Linked DNA regions of Diceros bicornis minor. The protein of the gene in region 1 purifies or fractionates together with the protein of each later gene. This does not show direct contact. Links are inferred from orthologs where the notes say so. Each region holds a gene or a part of one and is shown in the gene's direction. Other genes may lie near its edges. The genes, in order: ANAPC15, ANAPC7 and ANAPC1.

Region 1 (6,982 bases):
TAATTGGGCCAAAGTAAGACCCAGGATGCCTGGCTCCCATCCCATCCACTCCATCTTAGGGCCATCAAAGCCCTTCCTCATCTGAGTCCTCTTAACATTCTTTCTCATCTCTCTCTCTGTCCCCAGACACCTAGTTCTCCCCAAAAGGATTCTCACTGTTCTCCAAACACATTATCTGCTTTCAACTCATGCCCTGGCATGTAACATGACTCTTTGTGCATCCCCTTCTCTCATTTGTCTACTGGGTGAACTCCTACTCATCCCTCAAGGCCCACTCAAATGTTTCCTTCCCTGGAACAAAAATCTAAACTCAGTTTATCTAGGACCCATTCATCTCTCCCCACTCTGTGCTCTCATAACACTCTCTACATACATTGATTTTAACATTTACTACCCTCTTCTCTAATTGTCTTAGTCCTCATTAGACTGTATTTTTCTCTAGAACAGGGATTATTTCTGCTTCATCTCTCTTTCCACAGGGCCTATCAAGATGTCTGGTACTCAATAAATGTTGACCAAACACTGGAACAAATGAAGGAATATGAGGCAAATTTCTTAACCTCTCAGAGTCTTAGTTTTATTATTCTTGAAATGAAAGAAAGTGAAACACTTGGCAAGGACAAATGATGGATAATGATGTAAAACAAATGGCACCATATTTGACTCAGTTGCCTGAGACAAAAATGGAGAATTGCCCAAAATTTCCACTTCTCCCTCTCCCTTTTCCCCTCCCCTGGCTAACTAGTCACCGTGACTTGTTGAATCTGGCTGAGGACCTCGTTAAGAAACTCTAGGTTATTGGGGAAGTTCCATCAGGCCAGAGCTTGTCAGGAAGGATGGGAGGCGAAGGGTGCTGGAGGGAGGGATCGTATAAGGGAAAGAAGCAAGAGGAGAGACTGATGGGGACACAGGCCACAGGGGGAGCAGATAAGGGACCCAGGAGAAGAGAGAGGTCAGGCTGTGTCAGGTCTATGTCTTGGAGACATAGACACCACCCAGTGTGTGCCCTCAAGAAGCTTATGGTCTGCTGGGGAAACAAACAGAAACAAACAACAGAACTAGGCTGTAGAGGAGCACTACCACCTTCCTGATACCCCTTCTTTACTTGGCTTCCATGATACCACCCAACTCGCCTGGCTTTCTACTTATCCTTTTGGCCCTCCTTCTCAGTCTGATTCACTGCTTCTCCTGGTTTCCTCAAATTCTGAATTTTGATGGAAACTATTTTCCATCTACATTCACTCCTTTGGTGATCTCATCCAGTCTCGTGGCTTTAACTACCGTCTATGTGCTGATGACTCCCAAATTGATACCTCCAGCCTAGATCTCTCCCCTGACCTTCAAACCCATAGCCCTCCTGCCCCCACAACATCTCTACTCTAAGGGGCATCTCAAACTCAACATGCCCAAAAATGAGCTGCAGAGAGTTTCCCAAAAAACCAGCAACTCCCTTGTCTTTCCCATCTCAAGAAATGGCAACACCGGTCTTCCAGTTGTTCACGACAAAAATCTTGGCTCCTTTCTTCCTCTGATGCTCTACATCCAATCTGTCAGCAAAGTTTGTTGTCTCTAACTTCTTAATATATTCAAAGTTCAACCATTTCTCATCCCCACCTCTGGACTATTATAATAGGCTCCCAACTGGTCTCCCTGCTTCTGCTACTGTCCCCCCTGAATCTTTTCTTCATGGAACAGAGTAACTCTGTTAAAATGTAAATCAGATTGTGTGGATCCTCTGCTCAAAACCCTTCACAGGATCCTCAACATGGAGTAAAAGTCACACTCCTTATTATGACCTGCAGGGCTGTACTATCTGGCTCCTGCTACCTCACGTCCTCATCTCCTCCTCCTTTCCCCATAGTACACTATGCTGCAGCCATTCTAGGCCCTTTGTACTTGCTCTCTCCTTGAAATGCTCTTCCCTAAATATCAGAATAGTGCTCTCTTTGTCTCTTTTTCTTCAGAACTTTACTCAAAAGTCACCTTCCCAGGAAGGTCTTCCTTGGCCCCCCACCTAAAATAAAACATCTCCCCTGCCAGCTTTTATTCCTATTTCTCTGATTTATTTTTTCTCCTTAGTATTTACTGCAATCTTAAGGCTATATATTTTACTTATCTATCTTCTTTATTGTTTATCTCTCTCATTAGAATGGAAGTTGCATGAGGAGAGAGATATTTTGGGGGGGTCTGTTTACCATTGTATACCCACTACTTATAATAGTGGCAGGCATATAGTAAGGCACTCAATAGGTATTTGTTGAATTAACGAATAAAAAGGGTGGACATTTCCAAGACGCAAATTTTACTCTTTAATGAAAAACTTGATAACAACCAGAGCTGCTTGGAAACATCATCACATGGATATGCACAGTACACTACCTCTTTTTTTTTTTACAATGTTTTTTTTCTGTGTATGAGGAAGATCAGCCCTGAGCTAACATCCATGACAATCCTCCTCTTTTTGCTGAGGAAGACCGGCCCTGAGCTAACATCTATTGCCAATCCTCCTCCTTTTTTCTCCCCAAAGCCCCAGTAGATAGTTGTATGTCATAGTTGCACATCCTCCTAGTTGCTGTATGTGGGATGCTGCCACAGCATGGCCAGACAAGCGGTGCGTCGGTGCACGTCCAGGATCTGAACCCAGCGACCAGCAGCAGAGCGCGTGCACTTAACCTCTAAGCCGTGGGCCGGCCCCTACACTACCTCTTAAAAACATAACCTCGGGCCTGCCCGGTGGGGCAAGCGGTTAAGTGCACGCGCTCCATTGCGGCAGCCCAGGGTTCGATCAGGGCGCACACCCACGCACTGCTTGGCAAGCCATGCTGTGGCGGTGTCCCATATAAAGTGGAGGAAGATGGACACAGATGTTAGCCCAGGGCCAGTCTTCCTCAGCAAAAAAAGAGGAGGATTGGCAGATGTTAGCACAGGGCTGGTCTCCTCACACACACACACAAAAACGTAATCATCAAATCCTCACATCAACCAAGGATAGGAGGAAAGCTGGGCAGAGATTATGATGCTGGTTGTAGAGGAAACTGAGTCCAGACAGGGAGAAAGGACTTGTTAAAGGTCACACATCGGTTGGGGCAGAAGCGGAACTAAGGATGATTGCCGGCCCTGAAGAGGCTGGTGGGTGATGGAGCTTAATGGGGGTTAGGTTGGAAGGACCTCTGTTGTAAGAGGCATGAGGATCTCTGAAGGGGAGGCTGAGTCAGAGGTTACTAGAACAAAGGCATCAGGAAAGGAGTGGGCGAGATGACGAGGCTACTCATAAGTGTCTTTAGCCCAGGCCTGGAGAGGGCAGCTGAATTCCGCAACAGCAGAATGCGGTGCCTGGGGCTGACTATAATCACTCAAGCTCTTGCACAACCTCAAATGCAAAACTGGACAGGCAATCTTAAGAGACCAGTGAGTCCACTGAAGGTCTGTAGAGTCTGGCTGCCCCACTGGACTGTGAGGTCTTTGGGAGCAGGGACCATGGTCCCAGATTTATACCCAGCTTCTAGCAGAGCCTGGAATACAGTAGGGACTCAAATATTTCTGTTGAAGGCATACATAAATGAATGTATGCGCCCAAACGGGAAACTGAGGGTGAGAGAGGACAGACAGGACGGGGGCAAAATCACCCAGCGATTCTGGGGTAGAAGCAGACTAATTTTCTTCTAACGCAGCAAGACAAACAGCCCTAACACTAACACTGGCTGCTGCCAGCTACCGCATTTTTCAGCCCCAGTCGGCGAGCAAATACCGCCTGGGGCCGGAGAGGCGGGGCTCACTGGGGCCGTTGGGGCGTGGCCAGGGTGGAGAATCCGATTGGCTGAGACTCAAGGCGGGGCCAATAGAGTAGGCGCGGCAAACTTTCACCCCGACAACGTGCTAAGGTGTGTAACGTCACATCCGGTCTGGTGGGCGGGAGTGGGAAACAAAAGGAGAACAAACACGCATGCGTTTGGTGTGGCCCGGGTCTGGTGGGTCCTTCCGCTCAGGCAGTGTCAACTGCTTCCGGGTCGCCGCGGGCTGCCGCCTCCCGGCGCGGTAAGTACAGAAGCAAGGCTCTAAGGCTGCTGCCTCCTGTCCCTTCCTTCCTCCCCAGGGAAACCCCGTTCCCTTGACTCGCCTCCTCAGGAGCTCCATGTCCAGACTCCTTTTAACGTTAAAGAGTTCTAGCTCATTGGCTGCTTCGTCGAGACTAAGCCCCACCCCGCCACACAAAGTCCGTCACTCATTGGTGTCACTTCCTGTCACGCAGCATTTCTTCCAGTTAATTGGCCCTCCTCAGGTCCCGCTCCTTTCGCGTTTAGCAGCCCTATAAGGACAAATGCCCGTCTGAGTCCCGCCTCTGCCTTCTTCCTGTTGGTCAAGCCCACGATCGTAAATAATAAGCAAAAAATGGGCGGCGGCTTTGCGGCGAGGGGTTGGGCTTTGGAAGCCTCGGCTTCTGTCTCTGTCTGGCCTCTTAGTACTTCTGGGACGTGAGGATGGGTGCTGTTGTACCTGTTACACGGGTTGGGCAGCTGGGGTCCACGGAAGGGCAGCGGCTGGCCCCAGATCGGTCAAATAAGTTAGGGCAAAAGCAGAACTTGCTGTAGATCCTTTTCTCCTGTTCATATCCTCTAGTGCCGGGCCTGGATCTCTTTCCCGGGGGAGTTCTATACCCCAACTCACGCTGTGACCTAGAACCAGCCAGTCGTTGCCTGTCGCTGCGCCTGTTTTCCTGTGAGCCAAAAGATTTTAATTCAGATTCTCTGGGACCTTTCTGTGGGTCATCTCCCTCAGCTACTGCATCCGAGTTGAATTTATTTGTTCTCTCACGTTAGTTCATCCATTCAACCTTCTATCTACTTATTTATCCATTTACTCATGCCTTTAGAATGTCTCACTGAACCATACTTGCACGGAGTAACTCCCCGTCCCCCCCCCCCCCGTTGTCCCCCCCCCAGGTTGGCTGTGGTTCATGAGACATGGTTAGTGTCCTAAATTTCTGACACTGGGTGGGTATGGTATGGACCATCATAGAGGGCAAACAGTAGGTCTTAGTCTTTGAAGGAGGTAGAAAGTGTGTCAGTAGAGCCCAGCTACCTCTAATTTTGTATAATTTTGTAATGCCAGTCTGCATTGTGGATTCCTAGCTCTGCATTTGGCTCCCATTCTCTTTCCTCCTTGAACAGCTTACAAACAGCTTTACTTATCCATAAAGCAAGTTACTTAATTATCAGAATAACTGTGAGGATGGTATAATTGTTATTATCCCCATTTTACAGATGAGGAAACTGAGGCTCAGAGAGGTTAAGTGACTTGGCCAAGGTCAAACAGCTAGTAAGTGGCAGACCCAAGACTCAAACCCAGGTCTGTCTGATTCCCACAGGGAAGGGCTGCTTCCCTGCTACCTTCCACTCCACCCCATCCCCAAATCAAACTGTAACAAAATAAAAACCAAAACCAAACATATCTGAGAGCTGGATTCACCTGATCCTTTCCCTCAGTCTAGGAGCCATGTCCACCTTGTTCCCCTCACTCTTCCCCCGTGTGACTGAGACACTGTGGTTTAATCTGGATCGACCTTGTGTGGAGGAGACAGAGCTGCAACAGCAAGAACAGCAGCATCAGGCCTGGGTGAGTGAGGACCTAGCACAGTGGTGGAGCCTCAGTCAGGGACCCCCCTCCCTTCACTGGCCATGACCCAGCCTCACTCTGGAGACCTGCCCTGGAGGAGCTTTTTGCCCTGAGCTGGGAAGAATCAGACTGGGAGCTAGGGGGCCTAGATTCTCATCTTTGTGTTACCCTAATTTGCTGCAGGACCATGGGATCTCTGGTCCAGATTGGAGCCCAGGCTCTTTTCCCTAAAGCATAGGAAATAATAATTTTGACTATTTTTTGAGGACCTAGCAGATGCCATGTTCTAGGCTAATAGTCTCTCACTTCACCCTCACCATAATCTTATGAGGAAACCAAGGCCCTGAGAGTTTACGTAGTTGGACCAAGTTCATAAGTAAGTGGCAGATGATAGGAGAGAAAGGTATTGAATCTTCCTGAGAACTGGAAGGAAGCTTCTCTTCCATTGTTGGGGGTCTTCTTGGGGGCAGCGTGGGCCCGTCCCATGCCCCTGACCTGCCTTGCTTGGGCCCTGGCCCTGCTCTCCTCCCACTTTGGCCACAGCTCCAGAGCATCGCAGAGAAAGACAACAACCTGGTACCTATTGGCAAGCCAGCCTCAGAGGTGAGTAGCCCCAGCAGGTGGGGCCTGTGTGGGGACTAAGGCTCTGTTCTAATTCTGCCCCTGACCTTGGAGCAATTGTGGTCCTCAGCTCTGGATGGAAGCCAGAAAGAGGAGATAGAGGGGGTGGGCATTGGGCCCAGCACTAAGGTCCTGCAGAACATGCACCAGCCTGCTAGACTCGGGGAGGGCAGATTTGGGGAGTAGGGGTCATTCACTGGCCCCAGAGAGAGGCTCCAAGTGGGCCAGCCTTTGAACTGTCCAGCCAGGCCTGTAGAGCCTACAGGCTGTCCCCTGCCTCACCAGCACTATGATGACGAGGAAGAGGAAGATGAAGACGATGACGAGGATAGTGAAGAGGACTCAGAGGATGATGAGGACATGCAGGACATGGATGAGATGAATGACTACAACGAGTCACCTGATGATGGAGAGGTCAATGAGGTAGGCGGGGGTGTGGGGGAGGGCCGCTGCTCCTGGGCCCCTGCCCCTGACCTAATTGGCGGCCGAGGGGTACAGGCACCCTGGATCCAACCACGGGTAGGATCTGGGATGGGGGCTGGCTGGGTGGCTGAGGCCCCTCCCCACCCACACCCAGCCTCCTCTCCAGGTGGACATGGAAGGCAACGAACAGGATCAGGACCAGTGGATGATCTAGGTAGACAAGGCAGGGTGGCCCCAGGGAGATTCCAGGCCAGTCCAACCTACCCTGCACCCCCTGCAGAACCAGCTGATCGCCCCAGTGCCTGAAAGCTCACCCTCGGGCACC
Region 2 (6,952 bases), on another chromosome or scaffold:
CACTTCAAGGAATATTTTAAAGTAAATCCTAGACATTGTTTCTTCCATAAATACTTCAGTATATTTTATCACCTTCTATACTATTTGTATTACTTATTTGTTGTTTATCTCCCCTCATTGGAATGTCAGCTCTAAAAGAACATGGATTTTTGTTTGTTTTGTTCCCTGCTATATCCCCATGGTCTAGAATAATTTCTGGCACACAGTAGGTGCATAATAAACATATGTTGAATGAATGTACAGTGAAGCAGCTGAAAGGAGAGGAGAAACCAATTAACAATGAATGTCTCATTATAATGATTTATTATGTTCGTCTAGTGTTTCATGATTTATAAAGCATTTTTTATACCATCAATATCTTAACTCTTTTAATTAAATGAGCTATGTGATGAGGTCATTGACTCATGCTTCTTCTTCATCCATTATTGAATATTTGTTAACACCTACTATGTGCCAGGCACAGACCACAGAATGGTGTGCAAGACAGATAGGCCCTCTGTCTCGTTAGTTTCCAGTCATCCAGGTGGGTGTAGACCTGTCAGGAATGCAAAGAAGCGTCCCACTCACTCTGCCCCCTCGTGAGACAAGGTGTACAGAGATGAGAAAAGTTAATTAACAATCACAGATTTAAGTATGGTGAAGGAGAGGCATATAGGGCAATGAAGTCATTAGTTATCAAACGAATTGTCCAAACTATAATTCCCATTCAGAGAATCGAGGCATTAAAGGAGAGATGAATCACTTTTTAGGAGAAGGTATGGCAATTTCAACTAAAAATGTTTCTTTCTTTTTTTTTTTTTTGCTGAGGAAGACCAGCCCTGAGCTAAGATCTATTGCCAATCCTCCTCCTTTTTTTCCCCTTTTTCTCCCCAAAGCACCACTAGATAGTTGTATGTCATAGTTGCACATTCTTCTAGTTGCTGTATGTGGCATGCCGCCTCAGCATGGCCGGAGAAGCGGTGGGTTGGTGACTGCGCGGGATCCAAACCCAGGCCGCCAGTAGTGGAGTGCACGCACTTAACCGCTAAGCCACGGGGCCGGCCCCTAAAAATGTTTCTTGAATCTATGAATGTTGGTTTATTCCAGGATCAGTGGATATGTGACTTTACAGTAAGATGTCAATCCAGATATAAACCTAACTATATTTTGCAATTACAGTGTAGCTTGGAGAAGGTAAATTGGAGACTCATGAGTCACGTGGCTTAAAGATGTGTTTATTTTTTTAATGGTTTTATTGAGGTATATAAAATTCACCCATTTTGGGCCGGCCCCGTGGCTTAGCGGTTGAGTGCACGCGCTCCGCTGCTGGCGGCCCGGGTTCGGATCCCGGGCACCCGCCGACACGCTGCTTCTCTGGCCATGCTGAGGCCCTGTCCCACATACAGCAACTAGAAGGATGTGCAGCTATGACATACAACTATCTGCTGGGGCTTTGGGGGGAAAATACATAAATAAATAAAATCTTTAAAATTCACCCATTTAAGTGTACAATTCAATGATTTCTTAGTGAATTTAGAGTTGTGCAGCAATTACCACAATCCAGTTTTAGAACATTTCCATCTACCCTAAAAAGATCCCTCTTGCTCATTTGCAGTCACTCCCGCTTCCCACCCTCACCATCAAGCAACCACTAATCTTTTTGTTGCTATCAGTTTGTCTTTCCTGAATGTTTCATATAAATGGAGTCAGAGATTGTGATTTTTTTCCGTCTGTTTTTTTTCACCTAGCATTATTTTTAGCATAATAATTTTGAAATTCATCCATGTTATCAGAAGTTTGTTCTTTTTTTTATTTTTTGCTGAATAGAATTACACTGTATGGATATACCACATTTGGTTTATATAGTCATCAGCTGGTGAATATTTGAATTGTTTTCACTTTTTGGCTATTGTTAGATGTGGTTTTCATTAGGAAATATTTTGAATGTAGAAAAAAGTATGATAGCAAGCATTTATGTAGTTAGTGTTTACTCTGTGTCAGCCACTGTTCCAAGTGTGTTAGATACAGCGGTATACACAGCATGTTTGACACCCAGAGCAGGTCAATTTTTATACCTCCTTCCCCTTTTTCTTTCTTTCTTTCTTTTTTTTTTTAGTAAACTTTATTTTTTAGAGCAGTTTTAGGTTCAGAGCAAAATTGAGCAGAAGATGCAAAGAGTTCCCATAAACCCCCTGCCCCCGCACATGCACAGTCTCCCCCACTACCAACATCCCACACCAGTGTGATACATTTGTTACAACTGATGAACCTACACTGACACATCATTATCACCCAAGTCCATAGTTTCTGTTAGGTTCTCTCCGTGTTGTACATTCTATGCGTTTTGACAAATGTATGACATGTATCCACCATTATAGTATCATATAGAATAGTTCCACTGCCCTAAAAATCCTCTGTGCTCCGCTATTCCTCCCTCCCCTCTACCTCCTGGCAACCACTGACCTTTTTACTGTCTCCAGTTTCATCTTTTCCAGAATGTCAAATAGTTGAAATCATACGGTATGTAGCCTTTTCAGATTGGCTTCATTTCAGTTAGTAATATGCTAAGTTTCCTCCATGTCTTTTCATGGCTGTGCTCCAACGATTGACAAATCTGTTTATGCTGCCTATTGAAGATGAATATGCAAAGATGATCAGTTTTTTTTTTAAAGATTTTTATTTATTTATTTATTTATTTTCACCCAAAGCCCCAGTAGATTATTGTATGTCATAGCTGCACATCCTTCTAGTTGCTGTATGTGGGCCGCGGCCTCAGCATGGCTGGAGAAGCGGTGCGTCGGTGCGCCCCCAGATCCGAACCCAGGCTGCCAGTAGCGGAGCGCGTGCACTTAACCGCTAAGCCATGGGGCTGGCCCTAATCCGTTATCTTTTTGTACTGTAATATTTGTTTTATTTTTCATTAAAATTTTTACTGGCATCATTATTTAGATGAAGTTTAAGAAAATGATATTTTCGCTGTTTCTTTTCTGGCCATTATTATTAGTCATTTCATTTCAGGATTATTACCGAAAGTAGGTTTTTTGTAAAAGAGAGAGAGTGGTCAAGAGAATGAGAAAAAAAGCTACAGACAGAAAAAATATTTGTAAAACACATATCTGATAAAGGACTGTTATCCAAAATACGCAAAGAACACTTAAAACCCAACAGTAAGAACACCAACAACCGGATTGAAAAATGGGCAAAGGATCTAAACAGACACCTCACCAAAGAAGAGATACAGATGGCAAATAGGCCTATGAGAAGACGTTCAACGTCATATGTCATCACGGAATTGCAAATTAAAACAACACTACACACATATTAGGATGGCTAAAACTCAACCTAGCCTTTATTCACTCTGAGTTAGTGAGTCATTTCACAGGGTAAAAACATGTCTTTTTTGCACCCAAGGCGTCCCTCCAAAGGTGAAGCCTGACTCCCACAGGTACACACAATACCTGAGAGGAGGGGGCGTGGCACCTTCAGCCAGGTGCGCCAGAGCGACTTGAAAGCAGTTAGGACTGCCCCTGGCGCCTGATTAAAATATTTAATTCCAGCTGTTGGAGATTTTTCCCGCCCGCACCCTACTATACTTTTATTTATAACTGTCCATATATTTTTATTAACTTCTGGGAGACACAGATTCCTCTCAGACTCATTTCAATTGAGCATATATTCATACTGAGGTGCCTTTTGTCCTCAGCCCATTGTAAGCCCTCAGTAAAGTCTGCAGCTTAGAATGATGATGCAACTTTTGCTAACAGAACGAAACAAAAGCAAAAACAATAGTCCCGAAAACCAAATCATTCCACCTCACAGGGGGCTTGGGGGAAGAAGTTTTGTTTTTTTTCTTTTTTTTCTTCTTCTTCTATTCAGGCACTTCAGTAGTTGCCTATTTTCCTGGGGGCGGTGCCGCATGTGGGCCCGATGGACCCCGGCGAGGCCGCCATTTTGGAGTCTTCTCTGAGGAGCGTCTACCGGCTCTCCGCGCCGCTGCCGCCGCTGCCCTCGGCCTTGCCGGGCGGGATGAATGTGATAGACCACGTGCGAGACATGGCGGCCGCGGGGCTGCACTCCAACGTGCGGCTCCTCAGCAGCTTGTTACTTACCATGAGTAATAATAACCCGTGAGTGGAGGCGGGGAGCGGCCTGGGGCTGAGGAGACAGCGGCGCCGGCTTGGGAGCGGGGGCCGAGGGGGCCCGGGGAGTGGCGGGAAGGAGCGGCCGCGGGCCCCAGCTGAAGCTCCGGGGTCAGCCAGGGCCTCGTCGGGCGGAGCCGGCTCAGGAGCGCAAGTTGAGGTCGCCGGGTCCCCGCGTTGTGCCGGGCGCTGGGATGCGCTCCCTGCGGGGGATGTGGCGAGCGGCGGCTTGGAGAGACGGAAGGCGGAGGCTCCGAGGGCGACCCTGGCGAGGGTTTCCCGAGGCCCCTGTCGCCGGGCATAGCGACTGTCACATCGCTGGGCCGACTCTTCCCTTCCCGGCCCCTGGTTTTATACCTTCGTCCCCCACCCGAGATTGCTCTTTCTCCTTGAGTGTATCAGGAGAGTTCACTTTCTCCTCGGCAAACGGGGGGCTCCCTGGCTGGGTGGGAGTGGTGCCTTTCTAAGGACTCGCAGGGCCCCTTTTCTGTTTTTCGCGCTGCCGTCTATTGAGTCTTATGACGGAGGAAGCACAGGGCCGTGTGCAGCCTGGAGTGCCTGTCGCAGCCGTGCTTCAGTGTCTCCATTCTGTTTAAATTAAAGTTCCTTCCCATGGCTTAGAGGCCGAGCATCTTTCTCCCCGACTTCATCTCGTCTGCTCTGCTCGCTGTACTCCAGCCTCCCTGCCTCTTTCTCTTGCTGGAACGCACCGAGCTCGTTCTCAGCTCAGGGCTTTTGCATTGGCTCTTCTGCTTGGAGTCCTCCCCTCCGAGCTGCCTCCTCGTTCAGGTTTCAGCTCAGATATCCTTCCTCGAGAGCTCTTCTCTATCAGAATTGTCCCTTCCCCTCACTATGTATCCCTTTGCCCTGTTTTATTTTCTGCATCACTCTTTTTCTAATTGAGATGTAATCGATGTATAACATTGTTTGGATATTTGTGTGTATTGGGAAATGATTACCGCAATGTCTAGTTCACGTCCATCATCACACAGTTACAATTTTTTTTTTATTATGATGAGAGCTTTTAAAACATATATTCTGCGTGACTCGTAACACCTCATGAAGTCAGCACAGTGCCTGTGCAATAAGCATTCGTACGTTTTTTGAATGTGCTAAGGAAGTGCATACAACCTTAGGGAGGTGAAATACTGTTTCTGATTTCACACACATCTAGTAAGTGGAGGAGCCACGATGTCTGCATTTTGGTCCTTCTGACTTTAGAAAGTCTCTATTCTGACCCACCGCAGTTTACTGCCTCTCAGTGGCATTATAACTGAATCTCCTACCCAAGGTGGACCCATTGCATTTGGCTTGCTCTAGAAGCTGTCTAGGTTAGAAAGGAAAAGCCCCTCAAGTGCCTGCGATGCAGCCACTGCTCCCGATTTCATTTCCATTACTGTGCTTTTGGGCCTTGCTACTTGAGACCCGTCATTTTGCCACCATTCATTTAGTGTTGACAGTGAGGAGCCCTGGTCTCTGTCAGCCGTCTGTGTTTGTTCTGGAGTCTTTCACTTGGTTCTGAGTGATTTGTCAAGGCACACAGTTTCCACCATTGGAAATTTATACACCAGTTAGTCATTACTCTTAGTTCCGGAAGATGTTACAGGGTAGTTAGAAGCAGTTTGATCCTCGGACTAGACTTAGTTAGCCCATGCTTCTTCATAATAGGTTAAACTGGCGGTTTCCTAGCTTTAGGAGGCATTTAAATTCTGACCTTTATCATTAATATTTTAAATTAAATTGGCAATATACATGGTAAAAAAAATTCAAACAGTGCAAAAGGGGTATGCAGATAAGTGTCTGTCCCTGAGTTTTGACCCTCACCCCACCATTTCACTTCTCCAAAGGCAACAACTATTAACAGTTTCTTTTTTTTTTTTTTAAAGATTTTATTTATTTATTTTTCCCCCAAAGCCCCAGTAGATAGTTGTCTGTCATAGCTGTACATCCTTCTGGTTGCTGTATGTGGGATGCGGCCTCAGCATGGCCGGAGAAGCAGTGCGTCGGTGCGCGCCCGGGATCCGAACCCAGGCTGCCAGCAGCGGAGCGCGCGCACTTAACCTCTAAGCCACCGGGCTGACCCTATTAACAGTTTCTTATGTATCATTCCAGAGATGACTTATGCATGCATAAGTAGGCATGTATGTTACAATATATAAATATCTGAATGCTTTCTCTGAGTGTAGTAATATTTTCTATCCAATCTTATTTCTCACTAAGTACATAGAATCTCAGAGTTGGAAGAGATCTTAACTCTCTGGACTATACCTTTGTCCTTGACTTTCCTTTGTAACTTTATATCCCGTGTTTAGCCTACCTATCCTTTCTTTTTTTTAAGATAAAATTCACATACTGTCAAATTCACCCTTTTAGAAAATACATTTCTGTGGTTTTAAGTATATTCAGAGTTGTGCAGCCATTACCACTGTCTATTCCAAAACATTTTTATTACCCCAAAAAGAAAGCTGGTATCTGTTAGTAGTCACTCCCCAATTCTGCTTTCCCCAGGCCCTGGCAACTATAGTACCTGTTCTTGAATATCTTTCATTTGTTGAGAAATTAACTGTCTGCAGAGTTCTGTAACTCTGACTGTTTTTTCATTTTAAGCGGCTGTAGCTTTTACCTGTCAAAAACGTGTAAACTACTCAATTTGAGAAGAAGTGGGGGAGGGGTGGGTCAGAGATTAAAAATGGATTTTCCATTAAGAATAGTGGCCAGCTTCTAGGCAGTTATAACACTTGTGAACAATATTCAAGGTTAAAGAAAAAGTTGTGAAACGTATTGGTTCCTTACACTGTCCTTAAGCCCCTGAGACTCAAGGAGATAAATTTTCC
Region 3 (7,717 bases), on another chromosome or scaffold:
AAGCCTCTACACCTGGGATTAGTTAGGCACCAACAATGGCTAAGAATACCTTTATCATGGAAGGATTTGAGAAAGTATTTCTTTGGTGGTTGTTCGTACGTTACCAGGGCTTTCATCCCCTCCACAGAATGACTGCTTGGTGCCATTTGTAGCTAATGTCCCCATTCAGTAACATACAATAACATATTCACTGTACTATGAAAAGTCCCTCACAGGCACCATTTCAACTCTTGCTTCTACTAATTTAGCAATTATAGCAATAGCAACGAGACCCAGAGGCTTAAAATAGTAAAATATTGCTGGTTAAAATCAGATTGGGAAGCAAGAACTTGATACAAAGGGTACTAGTCAATTACTCTTTGATTATATCAGACTTGCCTCTGTAAAACGGATGATTGAATCCAATCTTTTATTACTTAGTTTCCCTATACCACCTACTCTCAATTTAATCTATAATTACAACTCTCTCAAATTATTGCGTTTTTCTTAGGGGAAGTGAGTTATTGAGATTTGAAAAGGTAGCATTTAAATTGTGGAATCAAAATATTGTAAACCCTCTCTTTGAGAAGGAAAAATTTCAAATCAGAAATACAAACTTCCCCTTTAAGATGGGACAAGCTTTGATTAAATGAATAGAACCCCTAATTTTCCAGATTTTTAGACTTCCTGTTTGTTCAGCGCAATGCTACAAATTGCCCCTGGTCTCAAAACTATTTTTACAAACACCTTGTGAGATATAAAGTTGGGCCAGCCAGGCTAGCCAGAAGTTTGAAATGGAGAAGATGTGTTTTATATGCTGTGGCGTTCATTTCTCTTAAATATCCCAATACCCAAGGTCCCAGAAGTAAGAGTTTGCTCAGATGTGTATAAGACTACCTTTTATCATTTCAAATTAGGGTGACTAGTAGTCTCTGTTTGTCTAGGATGTCTGGTTTTAAAACTGAAAGTCCCATGTCCTGGGAACCCTCGATCCTGGGAAAACTGGGATGGTTGGTCACCCTACTTCAAGTATAAATCCTAACCCCATGCCTGAATTGACTTCAAGTTTGTGAACCAGGTATTGGAAGTTGAATAAATTCAGAAAACATGGTTATGTGACAGTTCATTAATTGTACCTGTTGTTCACCACTTACCATGTAAATGAACTGGTAATGAACCTCATTTTTTTTTTTTCCTTTGTCCTTTTTTTCCTTTGTCCCCTGACTTTTGGGTGCTGTTTTTCCAACCCTATAAAAATCAAGTGTGGTTTCAGGGGTTTGCGAAGCAGCTTGTCTTCCCTGTCTCTCCTCTGCAGTAGTAGTTAAAAAACACCAAACTTTGCTTTAACAAAAATCTGTTGGGTAGTTTCTGAGACTATGAGATTGTTGAGAACTGGAGGGTGAGATGGGGTCAGCCGCCGGGTCCTTTGCAGGCCTGGTGGAGAGGCAGCTGTAGGGCCCTCTGCAGACCCAGAGGGGAAGGGCTGAGGGCAGGCAGCTGCGAGGGCTCAGAGGAGAGGAGTCTGGCAGCCATTTCACCCTCCTGGCTAAAATGGGTAGTTTAGGGCCTTATATACTATCAGACAGATATTGGAGACCGTAGTGGGCTGCTTCTGAGATGGCCCCCAGTGATCCCTGCGTCTTTGTGTAATCCCCTCCCTGAGCGTGACTTGCTCCTGACCCTCAAAGGTGATCGGCTGTTACTCTTGTGATCAGATTGTCTACGATCGCGACTGACTTCTTGCTGGCAGACTCTATTGCCCTCTTGGCTTGCATACTTTGATGATGTTGGGGAACCCTGTGCGGCAAGGAACTGTGGGTGGCCTCTGGTTGCTGAGGGCAGCCTCTGGCTGACAGCCAGCAACATACCAAAGCCCTTAGTCCTTTAACCACAAGAAACTGAATTCCAAGCGAGCCTGGAAGCAGAATTTTCTCTGGTAAGCCTTGGATGAAACCACAGTCCCAGGCAACACCTTGACTGCAGCCTTGTGAGACTCTTAAGCACAAGACCTATCTGGGCCTGGACTCCTGACCCACAGAAATTGTGACAATAATAAATAGGTTATTTTAAATCACCAAGTTTGTGGTAATATTATTATGCAGCGATAGCTACTAATGCAGAGACGTATATTTTATTACAGATTAAAAGTGAGAAATAGGGATTGTATTCAATTTTTTTTTCTTTCATGAGGAAGATCCTCCCTGAGCTAACATCTGCCAACCCTCCTCTTTTTTTTGCTGAGGAAGACTGGCCCTGGGCTAACATCCGTGCCCATCTTCCTCCCCTTTACATGGGACGCGGCCACAGCATGGCTTAACAAGCGGTGCGTCGGTGCACGCCCGGGATCCGAACCAGTGAACCCTGGGCCGCTGCAGCGCAGCGCGCGCACTTAACCGCCTGCACCACTGGGCCTGCCCCTGTATTCAATTTTTTGCATACCAATCATATAGAGAGAATTTTGCTAACTACTGGGGTGAGTACATCAGCAAAAGAGGTCTAGTGTATAATATTGGATATATGTGTATCTGTATCCAAGATGCAATCTCAGGCGCCCACAAGGGAATTCACGCTTGCTTGGAGGGCAGCGGAAATGCAATGAGTTGGCAGCCTGCAGGAGTCTATACCAGGGCTTACGTGTTCTGAGCCAAGTGGATGCCTCAAATGCCAACAGAAGAGAATGGGAGGACGATAGAGACAACGGGAAATAACTCTTCTCTGAAACTCCTGGATTTGTGGTTTGGACCCCATGAGCAGAGAGGTCAGTGGCAGAAGCAGGATTTGCTTTCTTAAGAGACTGTCAAAGCATGAGTCCAAGTGTCGTTAATGACACTGGAGTGCTGCAGGGAACACAGCACTGCTCTGGCACCTGAGGGCCCAAGGTCTTCGGGAGTAGGAGGGGAACTATCAGGACGGACCTTGCTGTCCTCACAGAGGATATCAAGGCTGAGGCCACAGAAAGGCATCTTGAGAGAATTTAGGGAAAGTAAGGGAACAGGCAGGAGGAAGAGCTGGGTGACCCTTTCAGTGATTCTGCTTCACGGATTGCACAGTTGACGGCGTAAGACATGCTTTGTGGATTGCGTTGTCCTAGAAAACAGAGCCCGAGGGAAGTTTGATGAGCGCTGATGCTTTAGCCCAAGATAGAGAGAATGAAGGAAAGGGGAAATGAAGCATGGAAGGATGAGAAGTGCCACACTGGCGCTGCTTCACAACAGGCTGCCAACAATGCAGCAGTCCGCTTGGCAGGTGTGTCCACTCAGCCATACAGGACGTCTCCTGACAGGCTGTGCGGAGAAACTTTGCCTTAGAATAGTCCACCAGAGAGAGAAGAAAAGGGAATTTACTTGTCTGGTTCCTTCCTGCCTTGTTCTTATTGATCAGTTTGCCTTCATTAAAATTTGCTCCTTGTATCCTCAGGCCAGGGAAGTCTGGGGATATTTTGGTTTCAGGTAAATGACTACAGTGAACAGGTCTTCTCAGAGTTCTAAGAGAGGCTCTGTCTTAGTTCTCTTGGGCTTCTATAACAAAAATACCATCAACTGTGTGGCTTATAAACAAGAAATATTTATTTCTCATAGTTCTGGAGGCTGGGAAGTCCAAGATTATGGTGCTGGCAGATTCGGTGTCTGGTGAGAGCCCACTTTCTAATTCACGGACAGCTGTCTTTTTGCTGTGTCCTCACTTGGTAGAAGGGGCCAGGGAGCTCTGTAGGTCTCCTTATAAGGGCACTAATCCCATTCATGAGGGCTCCACCCTCATGATCTAAGCACCTTCTGAAGGTCCCACCTCCTAACACCATCACATAGGGCATAGTTTCAACTATGAATTTTTGGGGGGACACACACATTCAATCCTCAGTAGGCTCCTGTTGGAGTGAAGCCTTCTAAGGAGGTATCTGAGCTAAACCCTGAACGTGGACATTCCAAATCAAGGGATGAGAATGAACTGAGATACCAAGGCCACACACTGCAAGGTGTTTTCGGGAAGCCCAGTGGACAATTTTAGTGCCGACATACGGTTTCTGCCAACTTTACATTTCTGGATAAAGAATTTGAACTTTTCTTAGGCAACAGGGCGCCTGTCAATAATTTCAACCTAGAGACACCACGCAATGGGAGATTAGAGCTCAAGAGAGTTTGCTCCTTTCCCAAGTGCGCTAATTGTACAGCTGACTCCACAGACGCGGAAGGAAGGATAAAGCTGGGATTCTTAACCTGGGTCTGCGACGCTCAGAAATTGCACACAACGTGTTCGCGAGGCCTCCATACGCTTCATCAACTTTTCAAGGGGCCTGGACCCCAAAGGGTTAAAATGCACTGGCATAAAGAGATAATCAGCAGTCCCCTCGTCGGGTCGGGAGACAGGAGCGAAAACAGCCAGGATATCCCCTAATTCAGAGTTGGGAAGCAGTTCGAGCTCGTAGCGACATGACCTGGAGCCACTCTGCTACGGGGGTCCAATCACAGGACAGACTGGAACAGAGACTTCCCCGCTTCGGGGCTCGGCGCCACGCTAACAAAGATGGAAGTACCCAGCAACTTCCGCTCCGCGCATTCTTCCCGCAACTGCGCAGGCGTCAGGACCGCGGGACTGGCGCGAGCCTCCCGCGATGTCCCGCCCCGCCCCGGCGCGAGGCAGGACGGGAAAGCCAAGATGGACGCGTCCATTTGAACGTCTCGCCTGAGTGGGTCGCCTGCACGCTTGCCTCTCGTCAGCAGTCGCGCCCGCAGCCGCTGCCCCTTCTTCCTCCGGAATAGGGGAGGAGGAGGGGATGAGAAGCTGCGGCGGCCGAGGAGTCACCGTGAGCGACCCTGCCGCTGCCCTCGGGCCCCCTTGGCCCTCGCGCCTCCGGGGAGCAGCCGGGGCTCGCCGCGCCTGACGCGTCCCGAGTGACACAGGTGCGGGCCCGGGCCCGCAGCGCCCGGTGGTTCCTCGCGCGTCCCCTGACCCTCGGGCCCGCTGACCCGGAGCCGAGGGGGCCCGGGCCTGCGGGCTGGGCTTTCGGGGGTGCCCCTCTCCGCTGCACGCCTCGCCGACTTCCTTCCTGAGCTAAGCGCGGAGTCCCACGTGGGCCCGAGCTCCTGCATCGGCCCCTTGTCCTTCTGACAGGATTTTCTGAAACCCAGGCCCTTAGCCTGTTGGTTTCGCTTAACCCTAGGAGGCCGACGAAGCTCTGCCTTTTTGCGAAGACTCAACTCAAGGTGCCTTTTGTGTGCATTTGGGTCTCCTCTTGAAGTAGCTTTGCGGTTACCTTTGGCAGGGTTGTTTTTGTTCCTAGTAAGCCGTGCTGGTATCTCGACTTACAGCGTGTCACCTTAAGATAGTACTTTCGTATGTACCTGTGTATGTTGCCCTAGTAAGTAAAAGCATAAAAGTTTGGGATACTGTAAAATTTTTTAATGTTAACCTTTATCAGGGCAAAGAGAAACTGTACTGTGAAAATAATTGTATGATTAACAATTTTGTAATTTTCTCTCAAAGTTTTAATGGAATAACATTTCAAAATTACACAACTGAAGTTGGATAAAGTGGCAAGTTCTTAAGTGTTGGTTAACCTGTTGACTAGAATATAGGAAGACGAGCTGAATTTTGCTGTTTTCTTGTAAGTTTTATAAGGCACTATTTTAGTTATGTCCCAAGTTCAAGTGTTCTCAGTTCTGAGCTTTAGCAGGAGGAAAATAAAAGTCATGATTGTGACATACAGTCATGTCAGGAATAACATTTAATTCATAGCAGAATAACTTTGTGACTCTAGAGGAGCTGTGTAGAAACTACAGAGGCTTTGAGATGTTGCAGCAAAGAAAACTGATGCCAGAAAGAGCTCAGATGAGATATCTAAATCAAACTTAATTAAACTCTAATTGTGAGCCCTGTTTCAGATGCTTTCTAAAGGTTGTCTATAGTGCTGACATCACGTTTGTTTTGATTTCTGTGTCTGAGGATTGCAGTTTAAATGTGATCACGCAAAACCCATTTTTAATGTAGGTGTTGTGTTGGAGACAGGACTGGCATCCACCTTACAAACAAGATTATACAGTGTCAGAATTTTAGTTCTAGCTGTTAGTTACTATATGTAGAAATGTATTGGAGGTAAAGGGACTTGTTTCCACTCACAGCCCATCCACATCTTTGTATAATGAACTGTACTGTAATAGATTATGTTAATTAAAAACTAGGACGCTTAAATTTGCTACAAGCATGACTGTTCCATGGCCAGAGTTATTCATGCCTTGGTTCCCTGGGTTTGGACAAAGAATTCGAATTGATTGTAGTCATGTATTTAGGTGAATGGGGGTGTGAAAACTACTGATGACATTTGATAGTTTATTACCTGTTTTGTGGATTGGTCAACTGAAAGCAATAGTTCAACTTGTGAGGAATTAGAAATAATATGTGGGTTTTTTTTTTTATTTGTTTCATTCCAATATACCAGTGATCCTCTAGGTGTGCTTTTCAAATGAGGTTCCAGCATCTGTATAGAAATGACCTTAAATGTTGAGAAGCACGGCAGTCATGGGACTATAAAGTACAACTATAAAAAAGTACAACTATATAAAGGACAGCTTGTCTAAATACTTTCTGTGTGAAGTGTGGAAAAATTAGCGTATAGTGGTAGGAAACATAGGATAGGTGTTGTGGGGCATAAGTGCTTGTCTCAGCCCAGTGGTTTCTGACAGCGGTAACTGTCTGTTGGTCAGTCTGCAACTACAGTGTGGTGATAACTGTAATTACCTGAAAGAGTCAGATCTGGAATGCCCTTTGATGTTGATTACTTATACACCTGCAATATAATAGGATTATTTGACACTCAGCTAAGAATTAATGACTCTTCGTAAACTTTTGTGATATTTTTATCCTGGTTTTGACTCTAGAAGCTGACCAGAATGTGTTTGAATTCATACAGAAATAATGTTGATATTTGGAACCCATGTCGAACTTCTATGAAGAAAGGGCAACAATGATTGCAGCCGGGGATTTGCAGGAATTTGTTCCTTTCGGTCGAGACCACTGCAAGCACCACCCTAATGCTTTGAACCTTCAGCTTCGCCAGCTGCAGCCAGCCTCTGAGTTGTGGTCTTCTGATGGTGCTGCTGGTTTGGTGGGATCCCTTCAGGAGGTTACAATCCACGAGAAACAGAAGGTTTCATTCAGTTTCCCATTATATTTTGAAATGTAGAGTGGTGTAATCTGCTTGTAATTTAAGGCTACCCAGATGCAACTGAGAAATGAGTGTGATGCTGTTTCTAGGGTAGAGGTTCAGATTTGGTCATTTTAAACAAGGCTAAAATAATGACTTGATTGTATTATAGTGTCATAGCTGTTTATTTAGACATATAACTCATGGTTTTACAATGAGAGTCAAGTTCAGTACTGTGATTATGGTCCATTTTAAGCCTCTTTCTCTTCTCTTGGTACGTGGGGACCAGATTTCATGTTACTTGATGATTAGATGTTAGAGTTAGAAAGGGTCCCTGCTACAGAAAACTTAGTTTGTAGAGGAGAAAAAAATGCTACATAAGTAGAGTAGTAGTTCTTAAATAAGGGGATGAGATGTAAGTTTGTGTCAGAAAATCAATCTTTCCTGTCTTATTCCGTTTTCATATCCCTTTGGGATACCAAATTCTCAGGGGGGAAAGTTTATGTAGTTAGAAATGTCAACCTTTCTCTCTCCCATTCATTTTGGTGGGTGGGATAAGGGAGGAAGGTGAATGTATATGCAGTTGTGAAATAAGGCAAT

Evidence for each region.
Region 2: the proteins of ANAPC15 (region 1) and ANAPC7 purify together in Homo sapiens (affinity purification with mass spectrometry; 3 studies listed by BioGRID and IntAct, with this or other methods). This does not show direct contact. The link is inferred for Diceros bicornis minor from reciprocal best matches to the Homo sapiens genes ANAPC15 and ANAPC7.
Region 3: the proteins of ANAPC15 (region 1) and ANAPC1 purify together in Homo sapiens (affinity purification with mass spectrometry; 3 studies listed by BioGRID and IntAct, with this or other methods). This does not show direct contact. The link is inferred for Diceros bicornis minor from reciprocal best matches to the Homo sapiens genes ANAPC15 and ANAPC1.

Annotation. Positions count from the first base shown.
Region 1 is NC_080746.1:58,529,736-58,536,717, forward strand, and holds the start of ANAPC15 (anaphase-promoting complex subunit 15), read left to right. Parts: upstream 1-3,934; 5' UTR 3,935-3,943; coding exon 3,944-4,035; intron 4,036-4,450; exon of another isoform or gene 4,451-4,716; intron 4,717-5,483; coding exon 5,484-5,613; intron 5,614-6,156; coding exon 6,157-6,216; intron 6,217-6,519; coding exon 6,520-6,657; intron 6,658-6,811; coding exon 6,812-6,871; 3' UTR 6,872-6,982. UniProt on the Homo sapiens protein: Component of the anaphase promoting complex/cyclosome (APC/C), a cell cycle-regulated E3 ubiquitin ligase that controls progression through mitosis and the G1 phase of the cell cycle.
Region 2 is NC_080774.1:8,943,829-8,950,780, reverse strand, and holds the start of ANAPC7 (anaphase-promoting complex subunit 7), read left to right. Parts: upstream 1-3,937; 5' UTR 3,938-4,005; coding exon 4,006-4,106; intron 4,107-6,952. UniProt on the Homo sapiens protein: Component of the anaphase promoting complex/cyclosome (APC/C), a cell cycle-regulated E3 ubiquitin ligase that controls progression through mitosis and the G1 phase of the cell cycle.
Region 3 is NC_080779.1:18,750,092-18,757,808, reverse strand, and holds the start of ANAPC1 (anaphase-promoting complex subunit 1), read left to right. Parts: upstream 1-4,630; 5' UTR 4,631-4,877; intron 4,878-4,903; exon of another isoform or gene 4,904-5,180; intron 5,181-5,460; exon of another isoform or gene 5,461-5,581; intron 5,582-6,883; 5' UTR 6,884-6,907; coding exon 6,908-7,120; intron 7,121-7,717. UniProt on the Homo sapiens protein: Component of the anaphase promoting complex/cyclosome (APC/C), a cell cycle-regulated E3 ubiquitin ligase that controls progression through mitosis and the G1 phase of the cell cycle.